Linked DNA regions of Coturnix japonica. The protein of the gene in region 2 purifies or fractionates together with the protein of the main gene of each other region. This does not show direct contact. Links are inferred from orthologs where the notes say so. Each region holds a gene or a part of one and is shown on either strand. Other genes may lie near its edges.

Region 1 (8,512 bases), on a different chromosome or scaffold from region 2:
CAGCTGTTCCTATTTGGCTTCATTTAATGTTAAAAATAATAAATAAATAAATAAAACCCAGCAGAATAAAGGAATTTTTAGTAAACCAAGTGAATGTCAAACTGCTTGACATGGCAGAATGGAATTCAGGAATTTTTATCTTTTCATCTACGACTTTTTTTTTTCTGCTTTTTTTTTTTTTCTTCATTTTTTTCCCCTAGAACCTGTTTGAGTCCATTGCCACACATGTGTCAGGCCTGTTCTTGCCAGTTTGTAATCTGTAAATGCACGGTTTCAAAACTGTCACGCCTTAAACAGTTTAATTTGCAGCTCACTGAGCTGCTGACTACTAATCTAAATACAATTCTTTAGTCAGTTTGGCATAAAGCACTTTCAGCAATGAAGAAACTTAGCAAAACTGATCATATTTCCTTTGGTTCCCACCCCCTTTAGTTCCCCTCAAAGTTCTATTTTCTATTATTTTGAAATGAAAACTGAATGCAACTTTTAAGCAGGTATATAAATTACATTATATGGATGTTTATATTTCCTATGGACATTAGGAAATACTACTGTTCCAAAAGAGTGGTCAGGCAGTGGAATGGGCTGCCCAGGAAGGTGGTGGACTTGGCACTTACTAAGAAAGTGCTTGTTACCTTATCTTGTAGCTCTCTTGTGTTAGGTTTAGTACCTAGGAGACTAAGAAATGAGCTGAAAAAAATCCCTGCTGACTTAAGTGCTTTGCTTGAATTGTATAGCAATTAAATCACACTGAAGTTACCATAGCATTATATTCATTTTTTTGCTTTTTTCTGTATTATAATTGGTCATTTTCCTCCTCTTTTGTACAGCCATGAAGAGACAGAGTTTGTACAATAGCCCTTTCAGTGCAGTCAGCTATGCCAGCTCCTATAGTCCGAATACCAGTAGCCCCTACAGTAGTGGTTTCAACTCCCCCTCCTCAACACCAGTGAAATCTGCATTAGCGAAACAGTTCATACCTCCGGGTACCTCAGGTAAGTGTGTGTGTTTGGGGGGTCCTTTCCTTCCCCCTCTTCCTTTCTTCCAGAAATACATTTTCAAATACTTCTACATTTTCATGGAGCCTAGAATAAGAAGGACACCACAACTCATCAGTGCTTGGTTGTTGTTTTTTTGTAGGAAGTTTGCATCATGTGGTATTTAAGCTTTTTAGGAAAGGCATTTTTTATACGCCTACCTTTTGGTGTGAGATAGATTTACCAGGTTTTCTTTGGGATACCCATGTACCTAAGATAACTGGTTACATTTTAACAGTTAGCCCAAAACTTGTACTACAGCTTCTGTGAAGTCCCCACACACTTAAGAAGCTTCTGGAATTGACCATATGTAGTACCTTTAGACGTTACCTGTTGGTGGCTTGTATAGTCTATGCAATTACAGTATTATTTATTATTGAAACATTTGGTATATCATCATAGAATCACAGAATTACCCAGGTTGGAAAAGACCTTGAAGATCAAGTCCAACCGCAGCCTAACCATAGTACCCTAACTCTAAAAACCCTCTGCTAAATCATATCCCTGAGCACAGCTGCAGTATGAACTATGTAATCTAAGAAAGAAGCGTGTATTGCAATTGAAGATATTCCTTAAGGCTCTGCAGACATCAGTATAAACAGTAACTTCTGGCAGCCTTTTCTGCCTCTATTCTGCTCCATAGGCATTTTCTTTGCTTTAGAAAAACTGATGTATGAAACATCTCTCTACACTGAAGTCAGAATGTTGGCTCATTGCATTTACATCAGCTCAAGTTAGTTTGCAGGGAAGAGAAAGAACATTTAATTTTAAGTTCCACTGTCCGTAGTTTGCTGTGGACTTATAAAGAGAATCCTGCACTGCAATGTATTCACCAGAGACATTGCTGAAGTTCTGTTTTCATCTATCTAACTCTGGTCTTTGTTATGTGCTACAGTCCTGCTGCCGTCTGTCACACAGCAACAACATGTAATGGAATATTGGCAAGAAGGTTCAGCCTCTACTGCCATACCACTAACATCCACCACTGATTACAGGCCAACATAATCAAATAAAAGGCATTACTTTCAGAGCAGCCGTCATGGTGTGTAGAATAACATAGACCTAAATGGGACAGGCATGCAGTGCTCTTTCTGTATGAGCTGTACAAATGTCATAGCAATTGAAACCTTGGTACAAAGGGACCAAATTTCTGTCATTAATTTAATCTCTCACCATTATGGCAATTTTTATAAAGTTACTCGTTTTCAGCATAGATTTGCAGTCAGATATTTCAAATGTTTGTCTCAATATTTGAAGTCATCATCTGTTTTCAGATGGTTGGTTCTTTTATCAGGATATGAATTTTCTCTTCCTTTTCTTTCAAACATCTCCTATTACATTATGTTCTTTCTACAGGTCATCTTAAAAGCTCAGCTGATAGGAATCCTCCACTAAGTCCACAGTCCTCTGTGGACAGTGAATTAAGTGCATCAGAGATGGATGAAGACTCTATTGGATCTAATTACAAGCTAAATGATGTTACAGATGTGCAAATTTTAGCACGAATGCAGGAAGAAAGTAAGTATTATGCATCTTGAAAACCAAGTGGGATAGCTGATCTTTTTTAAATTAAATAACTGCAGCAGAGCTTCCTTAGCAAGAATCACAGAATTGTAGGGGTTAGAAGGGACCTCTAGAGATCATCGAGTACAACCCCCGAATGACAGAGCAAATCCCTTTGCTCTATCAAGGATATACAAATGTAGTTTTCCTGAGAAGACTATCTAAAGATTTCTGTCTCCTGGATAAGGAAAGGAAATGTATACCATTACGTACATGTACTCCTGCCCTGCTAAAGCATGGTAAAGCATGTACAAAAGTATAAATTTTAAAAGAAAAAGTGAAGCAAACAGTAATTACAAGCATTACTTTATCTCTTAACATTACCAAAAATGTTCTTCCCTTTATCACACTGAACTGTTCTGTGTACCCCTTGGGTAAGTGCTCCCAGCTTTGGAGATGGCTGGTCTAACTGAACTCTAGATCCTCTATGGGTAGCTTTCTGTTGTATTTACTAATGTCCCTCAAGAGGCATTTCATTCTAGCTTCTGTAATTCTTACAGGGTGGTACATGATAACCAGATTAAAGTTGTGGCCTGTGTTGTGAGTTTCCAGCCTGGGAGAGGAGATGAACAAGTAGACAGCACAGCTATATTAATGACTGTTGTAGTATGAAAAGGAAAAACTCATCTACTTACTCAGCTGTTAGACAACCTTGTTTAATATTAATCTGGAATTAATTTTATGTCTCAAATAAAAAGAGGGAAGATGAACCAAATGTTAGCTTGAGCACTGGGTGGGTAGTTGTGTGATTTCTAGCCTGCACCATATGTGGGCTGATAAAAAGTGACGCTGTACTCACTGTTACCAGGCCTCCGGCAAGAGTATGCAGCATCAGCGTCTCGGCGTAGTTCTGGTTCTTCTTGCAATTCCACGAGGCGAGGCACATTCAGCGACCAGGAGCTTGATGCACAGAGTTTAGAGGATGAAGAAGATGGCACACATCACACAGTGCATCCTGCTGTCAGCAGGTTCTCACCGTCACCTCGTAGTTCTCCCTGGCCTTCACCAAAACAGTCTCCAAGGAATTCTCCTCGTTCCCGATCACCTGCTCGAAGTATAGAATACAGTAGAGTGTCACCCCAACCTATGATTAGCCGTTTACAGCAACCTCGTCTTTCACTTCAAGGCCATCCTACAGATATGCAGACCAGTAATGTCAAAAGTGAAGGTAATAAGCTCCATCTCAAATTCATTACACATGTAGCTGAAGTAGTTCTGTAATTCCTGTAAAAGACTTTGGTTGCACATTGCTTGGATAATCAGAGCCAAAAATGTTGTTTGGGATTTTTTTTTTTTCCTGCTCTAGAAAGGGTGATAGAAAATCTGGATGTTCAGGAACGTACAGACTGCAGTGCTAACTTGTAAGAATATTCACCCTATAAAGATGCTTGCTTTCATTTTCATTAGTGCTTGGTTAGAGAATACTTCTTCCCTGCATCGCTCTTCATAATTAGGTTGGACATTCATTGCGCTTTGTCAGCTGTGCTCTTCTGTCCTGTAGTGTCATCAACCCAGCTCTGTGCGAGTTGGACGTAAGCAAAACAACACAAGACTTTAATGGCATCTTTTTGCCTTCTGTGAGAAATTGTACCAATTTTTAAGCTCCTTAAAGAATCAATATTAGCTGAATTAGTACTCCAGCCATATGTGAAAGATTCATAACACTTTGTAATTTTGAATGCTGTGTAAGTTGCTTTCCAGGTGAGTACCAGTTTGTTACATAGCATGCTGATATGGGACTGAGTGGTGACAAACATTGCTACAAAAATCACTGTTTTTATCTTATGGCAAGCCTTGTGTAATATAGTTTTCTAGACAAAGGCTTCAGAAAGTGTGCAACACTGGATGACAGATTTGTGTATTCAGTTGCTGTAATGCAGGAACAGAACCCAAGGAATTATAATTCAGACATGTTTCAATTTCAGAATACCCCATTTTTGATTTTTACTTTTTTGCCACAAGTGAAAACTGTATAATACTCTTCATTTTTTATATATAAATATAAAACTTCATCTCAGTATGATCAAAGAGCTGTTATGTAGCACAGTATGCATTTTAATTAGTTATATATAGCTAACTTTTTGTGTAACGTAGATTTTGGGTTCAGGTATTGGTTAACAACATGAACTCGGTCAGGCCTTGGGCTACACTTAGTGATATCTTTGTGTTGTTTCACACAGAAAAACTAAGGCGTAGTCTTCCAAACCTGTCCAGGACATCCAACATCCAAGCTGAGTCTGTGAAAAACAGCAGAAGCGACTCAAACTTCCAAGTGCCAAATGGAGGAATACCTCGCATTCAACCTCAAGCCTCAGCCAGTAAGTACCTTCCTGACGTTTGAGTGGATTGGATATGTCAGAATTAAGTGATGGCACTGAACTGTTGTCCAGTTTCATGGCACAGAGAAACACTGCATGCCACACTAGAGGTGCTAATCTGGATTTTAATCACATCTGTCTGAAATGCTGCTTTTTTTCTTTTTTTTTTTTTTTTAATAAATCAGGTGTTGAATGTACTGAAAGAACTTGTAGTCTGCTGTTAAAATAACATTCATACTGTCCTAAAAGCATATATGAAGATCTACAAGGAGTATAAATACTCTGAAGTAGCATTAGGCAGAGCATAAAATTCAACAGTATGAAGCATTATATTTCAGACTAGAAAAAACACATCACGCTACCAGAATGCTTATCGTGGTGATGGTTTTGCTATTTCTAACTATTGAAACCTAATGCAAAATCATCTGTGCAATTTTAACTTACCTGCAGTTAATTTTCTTCCGCTTTGTCACCTGAAAATTAATGCATTCAGTTGCAGATTTTGTTTTTACCAAACATCAGTGTTTCTCAGCAAAGGTTTAGATGAACCTGAGTCCTGTGAAACAAAAAGCGCAGAGCTGGGTTAATGCCTGCTGGTTTGGTTGGAAGCAAACCACTGATATGAGAACACTGCTGATCTCACAAGTCTCTTAGAAATGGTGACCTTAAAGCCAAAGCAAATGAAATGCAAATATTCAGTGCTTCCTTGTATGTCAATATTGACAGTTCCTTTTGCTTAAATGTTTCCTGACCCTTTTTTATTTTAAAACAAGTTTGAAAATGAATTACCCCGTGTGACATTTCAAAGGAAGAACACATTTTGAATATTATTATTTGTAGAGCTTTGATCTATGAAAGTTCATCAGTAATCTAAGTATTTGACAAGTAATGCAAGATAGTATTTGTGAATGAAACAAATTTCATTTTTACCTGTTGAAGAGTAAAGGCAAACTGCCGTACCTGATGGGCCTTTGTAACCATGGGCCTTTTGAAACAGCTTGATAATACAACCAAATACAGTTAAATGCAGAGCAATACGGACCTGGCGAAGACAACAAGAGTTCTGTCTTTCTAGTGACGCTGGATGTAAGGGTTCTGTGGACAATTAGTCCCAACTGCATGATACTGTAGCCAAATCTATACAGATTGTATTTGGTGTTTTAAAAGAGAGTGAACCTGAAAGGGGAGAGAGGACAGAGGGCAGCTTAGCTAGTCAGAAAGCTGCTTTCTAATATTCCCAGTGCAACTTTGTGGAAAGATAAGATAGCAGAAGTCTCAGTTTTCAATATTTGAGTTACTTCATTGCAGGAATGAGATGTTTATACATGATTGTTTTCAGCTACTGGATGGACTGAGAGTCATAGAAAGCATTAGGTAGATCTGTTTGCTTTTTATGGGAATCTTTCCTCAAACATGAACCACTCTAGACCAACTTACATCTAAATGTAAGTTTAGTATCATTAACAAAGCCCAGATTTCTAGCTTTTACAGTTTCCCTGCTCTTACAGATGTTTGTCAGAGTCTTGCTATTGACAATCGTAAAACGGTTTGTGTATGAAGTCAATGAGTAAGTATCTTTGCCTAGTCTGGATTTTAAAAAATTCCTCAAAATTGTACATTGTATAAAAAATTTCCAGAATTGTGCTTTTTTTATTGTACACTTTTTGTTTTATTGGTTTACTATTTTGTCACCTTGCACAAAGCACTGTTAAATTGCAGCTAAGCTTTGTTTTCCCTTGGCAATGACATCTGGGTCTAAGGATTCAAAGCTTCCTCATACCTGCTAGTGTTGCATGAGCTTCCCTTTGCAAGGATGCTGGCTTGCCGCCTGGGATCACTACTTTTCTTTTTTGTCAACGATCTGCTGTTCATAATTTACTTGCACATTTGCTGTGGCTGCAATACTGAACTTGCTATGGTTGCTGGCATTCAAAAATGAGTTAGGAATCCAGTAAGTTTCTGTGCAGACAATTCCTGATATGGTTACATAGGCAAATTAATACATACTTGATTAAGGAGTAGATGGAAGATAATTACAATAAGTACAAATGCAAAAGATGAAGACATTTTATAATCTTTAGCTGTAATCTGGTGAAAAATCCAAATTCTCTTTGAAAAGGGATTGAACGGGTAAACTACATATTAAGTGTAACTACTGGAATCTTCATCTACATATGGTTCACTGTGCTGTCACGCAGAAAGGATTTTGGAGTGCGAAAGCTGATAAGTATTTTACTGTAGAACACTGGAAGTTAGGGTAATACTTGCATTCTCCAAAGAACAGGCATCTTCTAGGCTTCCATGTGTTACAGATTGCAAATTCTCCACATTTAGATTGCACTCTACAGAGACTGTAAGTTGTAGAGCTTTGCACAAGGCAGCTTCTACATAGGAACAATGTGGATCACATATGCGTGATCCTTTTGAACACACACAGCATTAATAACACAAGGATGTGAAACCTTTCAGCAGAGTTAATTACAATGCTTTTTCAAAGAGCCAAGCTGTGAAGTGTTCAGATTATTAGTGACCATAGTCTGCTTGCCAAGATTTGGCTGCTTGGCATGTTCAGTGCAAAAGAACCTTTATATTCTAAGGAAACCTAAGTATTCCAGTTCAGTTAATCAGAAATAAATATATTCAGCTCGCACCATTTGTGAGAGGTAATATGGAGCCATTCAAGAGCAGCAAACAGTGTGGATGAGTGTGTACTCCACACTTATCTCAAATCACGTTTCCACAGCATTACTCAAGTTCCCTGCTTGCAGCTCTTTGCAGTGTTGTAGCGCACGTACTGCTTAGCTGTCAGATGTTGGGAACTTTGCCTGGAGCCTCCACTGAGAAGGAAAGAAGGAATTTGATATATATTAAAAATATGTTTGTTTTTTTTTATTCTTTCCACATCATCTCACATCTCTGACTCACAAGTAGCATAAGAATGAAGGGGGAAGCAACTTACTGCTATGTACAGTTGACCACATTCAAGATCATAAATATGAAAGAAGAATTTGTTCTTGATTTAACGTGGTAGAACAAAAAGACCGATTCAGCAGAAAGTGATATTATGGAATCCTTGTGGACAGAAACACTCTGGCCAGTGGTTGGCTTCACTAAATTCCTTTAAGAAAACAAGTCTGAGAACTGTGCTTATTTTTAAGCATCTTCACACGTTTAATTGGCTGTTTAGAAGTATTGAAAAAGGTTTACAGTAAGGCCATGTGTCAGAAGTCGACTAAGAACTGACTATTGCCTCATGCTTTTTTTGCACTAGATTCTAGTTGGTGGAAGAAGTTTTTGTTCTTGTTCTTTTAGGCTCATTTTATAACGTTTATAAATGTGTTTATTCATTTTTGCTGTTTGTTGAAAACAAAGTTTTCAGTTAGTTACAAAGATCAAAATGAATAGATCACCACCTAATTAATATTTTTAGAAGGAAGGGAGAACACATGATGGAATTCTTTAGTAGCTCACAAAATACTGCAGATTTTGCATTGACTCACGGATAAGAAATCCTTTAGTAAAGGATTAGTACCATTTGTTCCTTCTCCTGCCTTCTGCAGCAGTGTTCAGCAATTGGTGACATGAGCACTGAGC
Region 2 (8,512 bases):
GAGAATATTCTACATTCATATTCTTGTTTCTTTTTATGATATCATTCAGCTACTGCACAATTAAAAGAATATTTCCCCAATCATAATTCCTTTCCCCAAGCCAACCAGAATTACAATACCAGGCCTCTGCTAAAATTACTTCAAAACTTTTAATCCAACCCATTGCCTAAATCTGTTTTTGCCAAGAAGGGATAAAATAAAGTATCCCTAGACTGAAATTTATGACTTTTTTTTTTCTTTAAATAAATCAGAATAAATAGAATCTCCTTTGTCTATCCTTGGAGGCAAACTGCAATAAAAGCATTAGTCATTTTGCCACTTGTAGAACGTAGATAATTATAGTAAGCCTGGGTCATCCTCACAAAAAATAACACGTGCTAAAATGTGTGCAATTGAAAGAACACAGAAAAGGTTTCCTCAGCCAACCTTCCCTATATGTTGTTGAACTTAACACAGTACATTTTTCAACCACCGTTGAAGGATATCACATTTTTTTTTAAGATACCCATCCAAATAGTAAACTGCTACAGTTGAAATAAGTCACATCAGAAGCCACAGAATACCAATTGAGGACCGTTTTTCTTTCTTGAGAGCTCCAAATTAAACTTTCTAGTCACACTTCTGTTTCTGTTCAGTTAAGTACTGCATGAAAAAGCTAGTAAAAACCAGCTAGTAAGAAACAGAAAGTTGCATATCTAAGCTCTAAAAATTCAACTGCTGGAAGCTTTATTACAAGTCTCACTTTATGAGAAATGTGAGGTAATAAAGCATGCAAAAGAGACTCCAGTATTGGAAGTAACAATCATAGAATACAAACAAATGAATGGCACAAGCTTGTTTTTACATCACAGTTGAAATAAGGGGCATACTAGACAAAGGGGCTATCGAGAATGAGAACTTGGTGTCTACTGTTCTTCTAATTCTTGTAACAGCACAAGGAATAAAAAAAACTTCAGCATAAAACAAAAAACACTGGAAGCGTTATGTACTCAAACTACACACCTAGGAACAATACATAAAACCTTGCTATCAAATGCAGAAACTGTGGAAGCATAATTCTAAATTGGAAGACTAATAGAGCTCCATGAAATAAACTGATCTAGAGATCTAAAGCATAATAAAACACTACATATAAAGAAGGTATGTCTTATAAATACAGTTGGTAGGAAGATATTGAGAAAGGTTACACCATTTTCTAATTATACCATACTGTTAAACAGATAAGAATTTAAACCAGGTAAAATATGCTTTTAAAAGTAGGACACTTAGCAGAACCTAAAATAAATCATTGCTTACAGCACTCATTTAGTGCAAGAAGAACCATTTAGGCACATACTTCAGCAAATTCACTACCAAACATCCAGCATAAAGGTATCCTTCATCTGTATTACAGTGTTTTCACACGAGCTACTTTTTTATTATTATTTTTGCAGGAAAAGGTTTTCTGGCCTCACTGATACCAAAGTTATCAGCAGGAAATTGACTTAATGAAACAAACACAACCAAATTCTGTGATTCTAATCCTGAAACCCAATACCCTATCTTAAATAAGCTTTTGGTTTTTAGAGATTATTATCAGCTTCTGTTCTTAACAGAGAAATTTCTATATGGACAATGGAAATTGACACGGACAGCTCTTAAAAATAAACATAGGGGTAATGAGCATTTAAAAAAGACCAAAGCAACAATATAGTCAACCAAAGGTGCACACATCAGCAAGGAAAAACTTGAAACAATCCACCACCACCAGCAAAAAAAAAATAGAACGAATTTCAACTTTCCTATCACTGAACTTAGCTATTCAGAAGAGTTGTGATATTCTCACAACTGTTATCACCATAAAAATAATCAGTTCAGTAAAAACAGCCTGCTAAAAAAAACAAGAGATGGATAAATGTACTACTGCAGTGAGAGGAAAAAGCAACAACAAAACAAGTGCCATAGTCCCAAACATAAAAGCTTACCTTAGTGCTTTCCTCAGTGTCTCTATACATGCAACTATGATTTTTGGGTTCTTGTTGTCGAGACCTTTTAGCAATTCTTCCTGTACTGCCTCCCCTTTCTCAATTTCTATATACATTAGACATATATCTACACCCAGCTCCTTTGCTCTGGCTTTTGGCTGATTGAATACTTTATTTACAACTCCAGAAGCTACTTCTCCCGTTGTCCTGAAAGGCAAGAGAAAGTTCCCTTTAGAAAACTTAAGTGAACTGGTTATTTACCATCATTAGCCACAGCAGAAGCACACACATCATCTAAAACATTGACAAGAACTCAGTCTTAAAGACTAAATTCTAAGTTAACTTTGAAGGTTATAACCTTCTGTAAAAGGTGATTTTTACCCGCTAGTTTAATCAATAGAACTCCTTCACACTGAGTACTATTTGGCATGTTCCTAATACCAGACTACACCAGATTAGGAACACAAGACCCTATATCAAAAAGGTCTCTATTAGCATACATTAATTCATCATCTCCAGGAATTGCATACAGTATAGTAACATATAATACCAGTGTACAAACAGTTTGCTGGGATTATGCCAAAGTTCCCAATACACTCAACAATTCACACCACTTGTGAACTAAGGGGTCTGGAAATGCTGTTAGGATTCTCAAATAAGCTTCTAATTTATTTGTTTTTAAATGCTTATTTTTTATTTTTTTTAAACATCAAGTCACTTAAGGCCAGTATATCTAAGCACGGATCAGGTCAATTAAGAGCTGCCATTTCACCCCCAGGAGAACACATTATTTCATGGGGCTAGATAACGCTAATAGTAGCAACATCCTGTGAAGAAGTAGGTGAGTATGCAGATTTAGATGGATTAAATTGCACACAGCACCACAAACATAAGTACATTTTATGCAACAAATAAATTACATGAATATCTCCCAGGAAAGATGTTCCCTGTATATACTGCTCCAGCCAAGCAAGAGGAGGGCTGCCAGCTCACAACACCAATTCACTGTTTTGCTTCTCTACCATTTCCAAAATCTGTACCACCCTCTTTACCTTCAACATCATTAAGCATTATGTAAGCAACTTCTGATAAACTAACAGGTACGTGGAAACCATCTACAAACCTACTACTCTGAAAGTTTTATAAGTCAGAAAGCAACTTGTTCTCAACATTTAATACTGTAACTTCACAACTCCCGCACATTTTATCTACAGACTTTCTCATAGAGGGACATAGAACTCTTAACTAATAAAGGAAAGGCTACTTACTTCCCAGCTACGTGAGCATTTTCAACATAAGCAAGTGCTGCTTCCAGTCCTTTCAATTGTGCCACTGCATTGGAGTCCGTCACAAATTTCTTTACCAATCCAAGGTATTTTGACCACTCAGGACTCTTCTCATCATCAATCTTCTGGAAGAGCTTAAGGGCTTCTTCGTAGCCATTTAGTCTGGCTTTCCACAGCTGGAAGAAGTAGTCAAACATTTAAGTGCCATGCTAATACAGACTTCAACTCACCAGTCTCACAAAGTACTTCAATCATAGCTGTAAGTGCACTCAGCAAGCTGGCATCTGCAAGATTTCCCTCCAGTAACAATTAGAACACTGTGCAAAATACCCACTGCTTTCCTGTCAACAACCACCCAGAAAGAGGTATGTCATTATTCTCCACTGTTCTCCACCAGCTCTAGCAACCACCTCTGGTGAGTAGGTGTGCGCCCATCAGTACTTTCAGCTACAGATGAGTAATATATCCACATGAGCAAGCCTACTGATCTTCTAGCTCACAAACTTATGCCATCCAGGTTATCACGCAACTGAACCCTGCTTAATGAGCATTACTTGAGTGTTTCAGACCTTTTACCATGCTATAAAAATTATCCAACTTTGATATAATTAGGTACAGGAGTATCATAGAAATATCACAGCACAGACACACAGCAAGCCAAACCCAAAGACCAAAAGTATATCCTACCTTGTGTTCACACTTTTGATCGATGGGTAATTTCATCCACTCACTGTCATCCCCCATTGTAATTCAGGTTCTCTTCACAGTTACAGCAATTCCTGAGGACACAGAGGTACATTAGAACACACATACAAAATATAAGCAAGGTACTACTTGCAACACATCTCAAAAAATTAGATAAAAAAATAAAGACAGCTCTAAAGCACGTCTTGTATTTAATGTGAAACCCACTCTTTCAAGCCTGCAGTTGTATTTACATACAACCTACTAAGACTAGGCTGCAACTCTCTCCACTCTGGAAGGCTAACAGAAGCCACTGAAGAGTAGTTCCATTTGTAATACTTCCAACACCACAATTTTCCATCTGGTAAAGTCTCAGTAAGCTGACACGAGGCACACAGTATACAGCTTTGTCTAAGCTTGAGGAAGAACGTATGCAATAAAGGATCTAAGAAGAAATGAGTATTGATGACCACTAGAAAACTGATGCTTACTGATGTGCTTTCTACAGCAGGTGCTATGCATCAGGGTTGAAAAACAATCACATTAGTGTGAGGACAGCTGTTTTAATAACTTCACAAACGGAGCAGTTAAAATGAACAGTATTACAAGACTAACAAAATCCATTTCTGCCAGATAGCCACTTTATGCCCTAATTCTAACAATAGCCAGAATTGGCAACTGTCATCCCGAGACCAGTTTCTTACTTCACGTAGGCTCGACTATTACTTGTTCAAGGTCATAGAAGCGTTTTCTCCCTCCCACTTCATTAAAATAGTAATATTGACCACTAGGGCATGAGAGATGAGACCTCAGGCTCAATGATCATCTCAGACATGCAAGTCTCAGCAGCACTGAGACAGCTCACAACTCCACAGAAGCAAATGAAATCAGAGCAGGTAAGGAGTAACACATTCCAGCACAGTATTTCACATACATACACAACAGAGTTAGATTTCAAGAACTAGTGGCCATCATCATCCAATAATTTATCCCACTAGATGTATAAATACTCAATGCTAACATAATATGTATAATGTACATTCAGCCAATGCCAGTAAAACTGCATTCTTTTTAGATAAAAGCATTTCATATATGAAGTACATACAGAGGTTCTCTGCAGAAAAATAAATCCTAGAATTAGGAGTATCATTTCATGGGTGTAAGTTAACACAAGCAAGTCCTCCAAAGCTATCTGTCAGCCACTAACAGCTGATTCAATAGGGAAAGCAGGCTAGCAATAGTCCACAAGCAAAAATGAAGCTCCCTTTATGTTAAAAGCTCTCTTAATAGCTCACCTAGTCAAGGATGCAGGAATGCCCTAGTGTGAATGCAGCTGCAACAACAGACTTTATCAATCAAGTCGGCCTGGCAGCTAAGAAATACCAGCAAAGCTGTGTCCCGTGTAATATAAGTTACATTTGTGTTAGAAATAATTAATGTACCAGTATAGAACTTAATGTACCAGCATAGAAATCACTGGAGGACCTCACCAGTGCAGAAGCAAGTCAAAAAACAGGCACAATGCTTTCCCCCAATCTCACACAAGCCCTTGTCAGGAATAACTTCTTACTAAGATTACTCTGTTTAAGTCATTTTCAAACCTAATCACAAATTCGGAGGCAACATTCAAGCTGTTCCTGGCTGTATCCTTTTCTTGAGGAAAGCATAAGGAATCAACAGAAGGAAAAGAATTACCACAGATAAAGCAGGAAAAGGAGTAAGGCAGTATAAGCAGTAAAAAAGAGCATTTCCTTTGCTCCAGAAATCTGCTCTAACAAGAAGAATCTTATTGCAGGATAGTGACAACCTCCCCACAGCCCCCAGCTCAAACACTGACATCAGATACATCACAGATTTCCAAGTGCTTTTTACTTCTACATTCAGACAACATTCATGCTCCAAAGTGTGACCCCTGACATGCACATCCCACTGCTACAGCACACAAAGGAGAAGAGGATCCTGGATTTTCCTTCCCAGCACCATGAGGTACTTTTACATGGGGGGACAGGGAGGGCAAAACTGCCACGCTCTTGCTTTTTTTCCCTCTAATCTGGTCAAGTCAGTTTCCCAACTATTTCTAGTTGCAAGAGCTACAATCATTACTTCCAATTATAAAATGGGTTCAGTTGCCTCCTGCGCTGAATCTTGCACCTAAAAATAGTAATAAAATTATATGTCCTCTATGACAACTTACAAATCCCTTTGGACCCGGCAGTTTATCAGGAAGTATTTCATGGTCACGGAGGGGGGAGCTCCCTTTTAGATACCTATTCTCTCCATCTTCATCGCTGTTCACACCCGCCCTAATCCTGAACTCCTGAGCTGTCTGCATCACGCCTCCAGCACAGTGACACACTGTAGTTTCTCCCTTCAATTAAGCTCCTGCATTCTGCATGTTCAAATATCCCACGTTTGACAAAAAAAAGGCTTTTTAAAAATGAAGTTTCCTTCCAAAGTCGCGTTCAGCTCTTCTCATTACTTCTCAACACCCAAATAGAGAGCAGGCTCACGCTGCAATAACAGCCAAATTGCATTACAACTAGTGAATCCGCAGCAATGAAGTGTTTGACCTAGATAGCTGACTTGTCAGCACAACTAATTTTACAGACTCCGAACAAACAGATTAATAAGTCTTTGGGTAACAGCACTCATTTTGTTAGCAGCCAGACAACGGGGCCTCTGGAGCAACTGAACCACCAAAATCAGTTTTGTGAGAGAGGCTTGTTATTAAGGCGGTCAATGAAACATTTACAAAAGCGAGTCAGCTGAGCAATCTGCAATGGAGATGAACAACAAATCCTCCCTGACAGTTCTTGGCACAGCAAACTCATGCAATGGAGCAGGAAGAAAGTGAAGACCAGCAAGGAGAGAACGGGATATCTTTCAAAGGGAGACAACGGAAGAGCAGAAAAATATATAGGACAGCGCAACACAAGTTCAAGTGTAAAAGTGAGAATTTGTTAATGAATTGTAGGGGGAAAAAAAAATCATCAATGCATTGATAACGTGTGAAAGGGATGGTAAGGGAATACTTGGATTAAGCACACGCTGCTCTGAAAAGTTCCTTACTCAGCTCCTAAATAAATGCTTTCTGGGCTAAAATTGGGAAGGGCTGAACAGCAGCAACCCTACAGTTTTACTGTACAAGGGCACCACTAAAAAGCCTCTTGACATAAATATCCTGAAACATGTGTGAGTTCAAAGCACATTTATTATGGATTCACTACGTACTGTCATGAAGCTTCACTTTCCAGACCGTTCTCCCATAAGAAGTGGGAATGCAGCGGAGGAAGCCATTTTGTGCTAAACAAAAACCAGATGGTTATTGATACCAATTGTCCACTCATCTCCGCCCGCTTCCATCTATTAAGCATCACTGCTGAGCAAGAATAGCTTTTAAAATACCAAAAGGCTTGATGCCAAAGTGGCCTTCTCAGGAGGTTTACCCAAGAGTGAGCTCTGAACAACTTATTGAAGACAGCCCATTTCCAAGCAGAACTGCATTTGAAATGTTCTTAGAGCGGGTTCTTTCAACATCTTCACACTTCTCATGTGCGTTGAGACAACAGTTCTCCATAGACAGCTCTGTGCCAGGATGGTCCATGTTTTGCTAGCAGAAAGAATTTCTATTTGTTTAACAGCAGTTTGGGGTCTCTGCCTCTCAACATGTGAAGCTTCACTGTCTCAGAAGTTCAGCCCAGCATGTTCTACAGCGCTTGCCAATTAAGCCTTTACATTAATTAAAACTCATTAGCTACAGCATAATGTAGCTCAGAAAAATGCTTAAAATATTCAAGTAATCTCAGCATAGGGGTTTTGTTTGTTTGTTTTAAACACTCAGATGCATTCAGCAGAATATGTGAACTGAAAAAACATGGCCTAATCAACTAACAAAAATAAACAGCGCGGTAAACTGCTTCAGTAAATTAAACATAGGGAGGCTGAAGTCCGGCTAAAACTCCTGAAGTTGAAGAGGTAAAAGCAGGACTCAGAAGACCTTCCAGTCAGGCTGTCAGCAGGCCTCCCAGTTTCAGTCCACCTGTCTTTTGATGACAGACACAGCAACGAGGAGCTCAAAAGCTCATGCAGATGCACCACCACTCAGAGGGCCATCTGATGCTGATGGAATTCCGAAGATTTTAGAAGATGGCACTTTCAATCTCCAGATGTGAAACACATAGGCTCTTGATGACAGGGGGCCCCAGAATAATAAGAAATGCAAGAAACAAAAGGCAAAAAGGAGTTGTTTGCAGGCTGCTGGCTACTTTGTGGGGTAGCTTCTCTGAGCTCCAGCAGCAATGAAATGGCACACAAGAGTAAATGGCACTGCATTCTCTCTCACCTGTCAAAGCTAGCAAGTTATTGACAAGGGGGGTAGCTACGTTCTCTGGAATACGTTCCAATACAGTCCCTGAAAGCAGCTTGAATGCATGGAAATCAGTGGCCTCAAATCAAGAAACACCGCAACATAAACCAGCCTCTTGCTTCCACCGAGGAGCGATTTCTTACTGCACAGGTAAGCCTGGAGAGAAGCCGATCTTATGGTGTAGAGAAGGGTGGGAAGAACAGGGCAGCACA

The links.
Region 1: the proteins of CKAP5 (region 2) and SLAIN2 purify together in Homo sapiens (affinity purification with mass spectrometry; 4 studies listed by BioGRID and IntAct, counting the BioPlex papers as one, with this or other methods). This does not show direct contact. The link is inferred for Coturnix japonica from reciprocal best matches to the Homo sapiens genes CKAP5 and SLAIN2.

What each region holds. Positions count from the first base shown.
Region 1 is NC_029519.1:59,960,853-59,969,364, reverse strand, and holds part of SLAIN2 (SLAIN motif-containing protein 2), read left to right. Parts: intron 1-830; coding exon 831-995; intron 996-2,393; coding exon 2,394-2,555; intron 2,556-3,408; coding exon 3,409-3,768; intron 3,769-4,780; coding exon 4,781-4,918; intron 4,919-6,426; coding exon of another isoform or gene 6,427-6,476; exon of another isoform or gene 6,477-6,485; intron 6,486-8,512.
Region 2 is NC_029520.1:20,887,994-20,896,505, reverse strand, and holds part of CKAP5 (cytoskeleton-associated protein 5), read right to left. Parts: intron 4,030-8,512; 5' UTR 3,995-4,029; coding exon 3,938-3,994; intron 3,427-3,937; coding exon 3,233-3,426; intron 2,172-3,232; coding exon 1,965-2,171; intron 1-1,964. UniProt on the Homo sapiens protein: Binds to the plus end of microtubules and regulates microtubule dynamics and microtubule organization. Acts as a processive microtubule polymerase. Promotes cytoplasmic microtubule nucleation and elongation. Plays a major role in organizing spindle poles.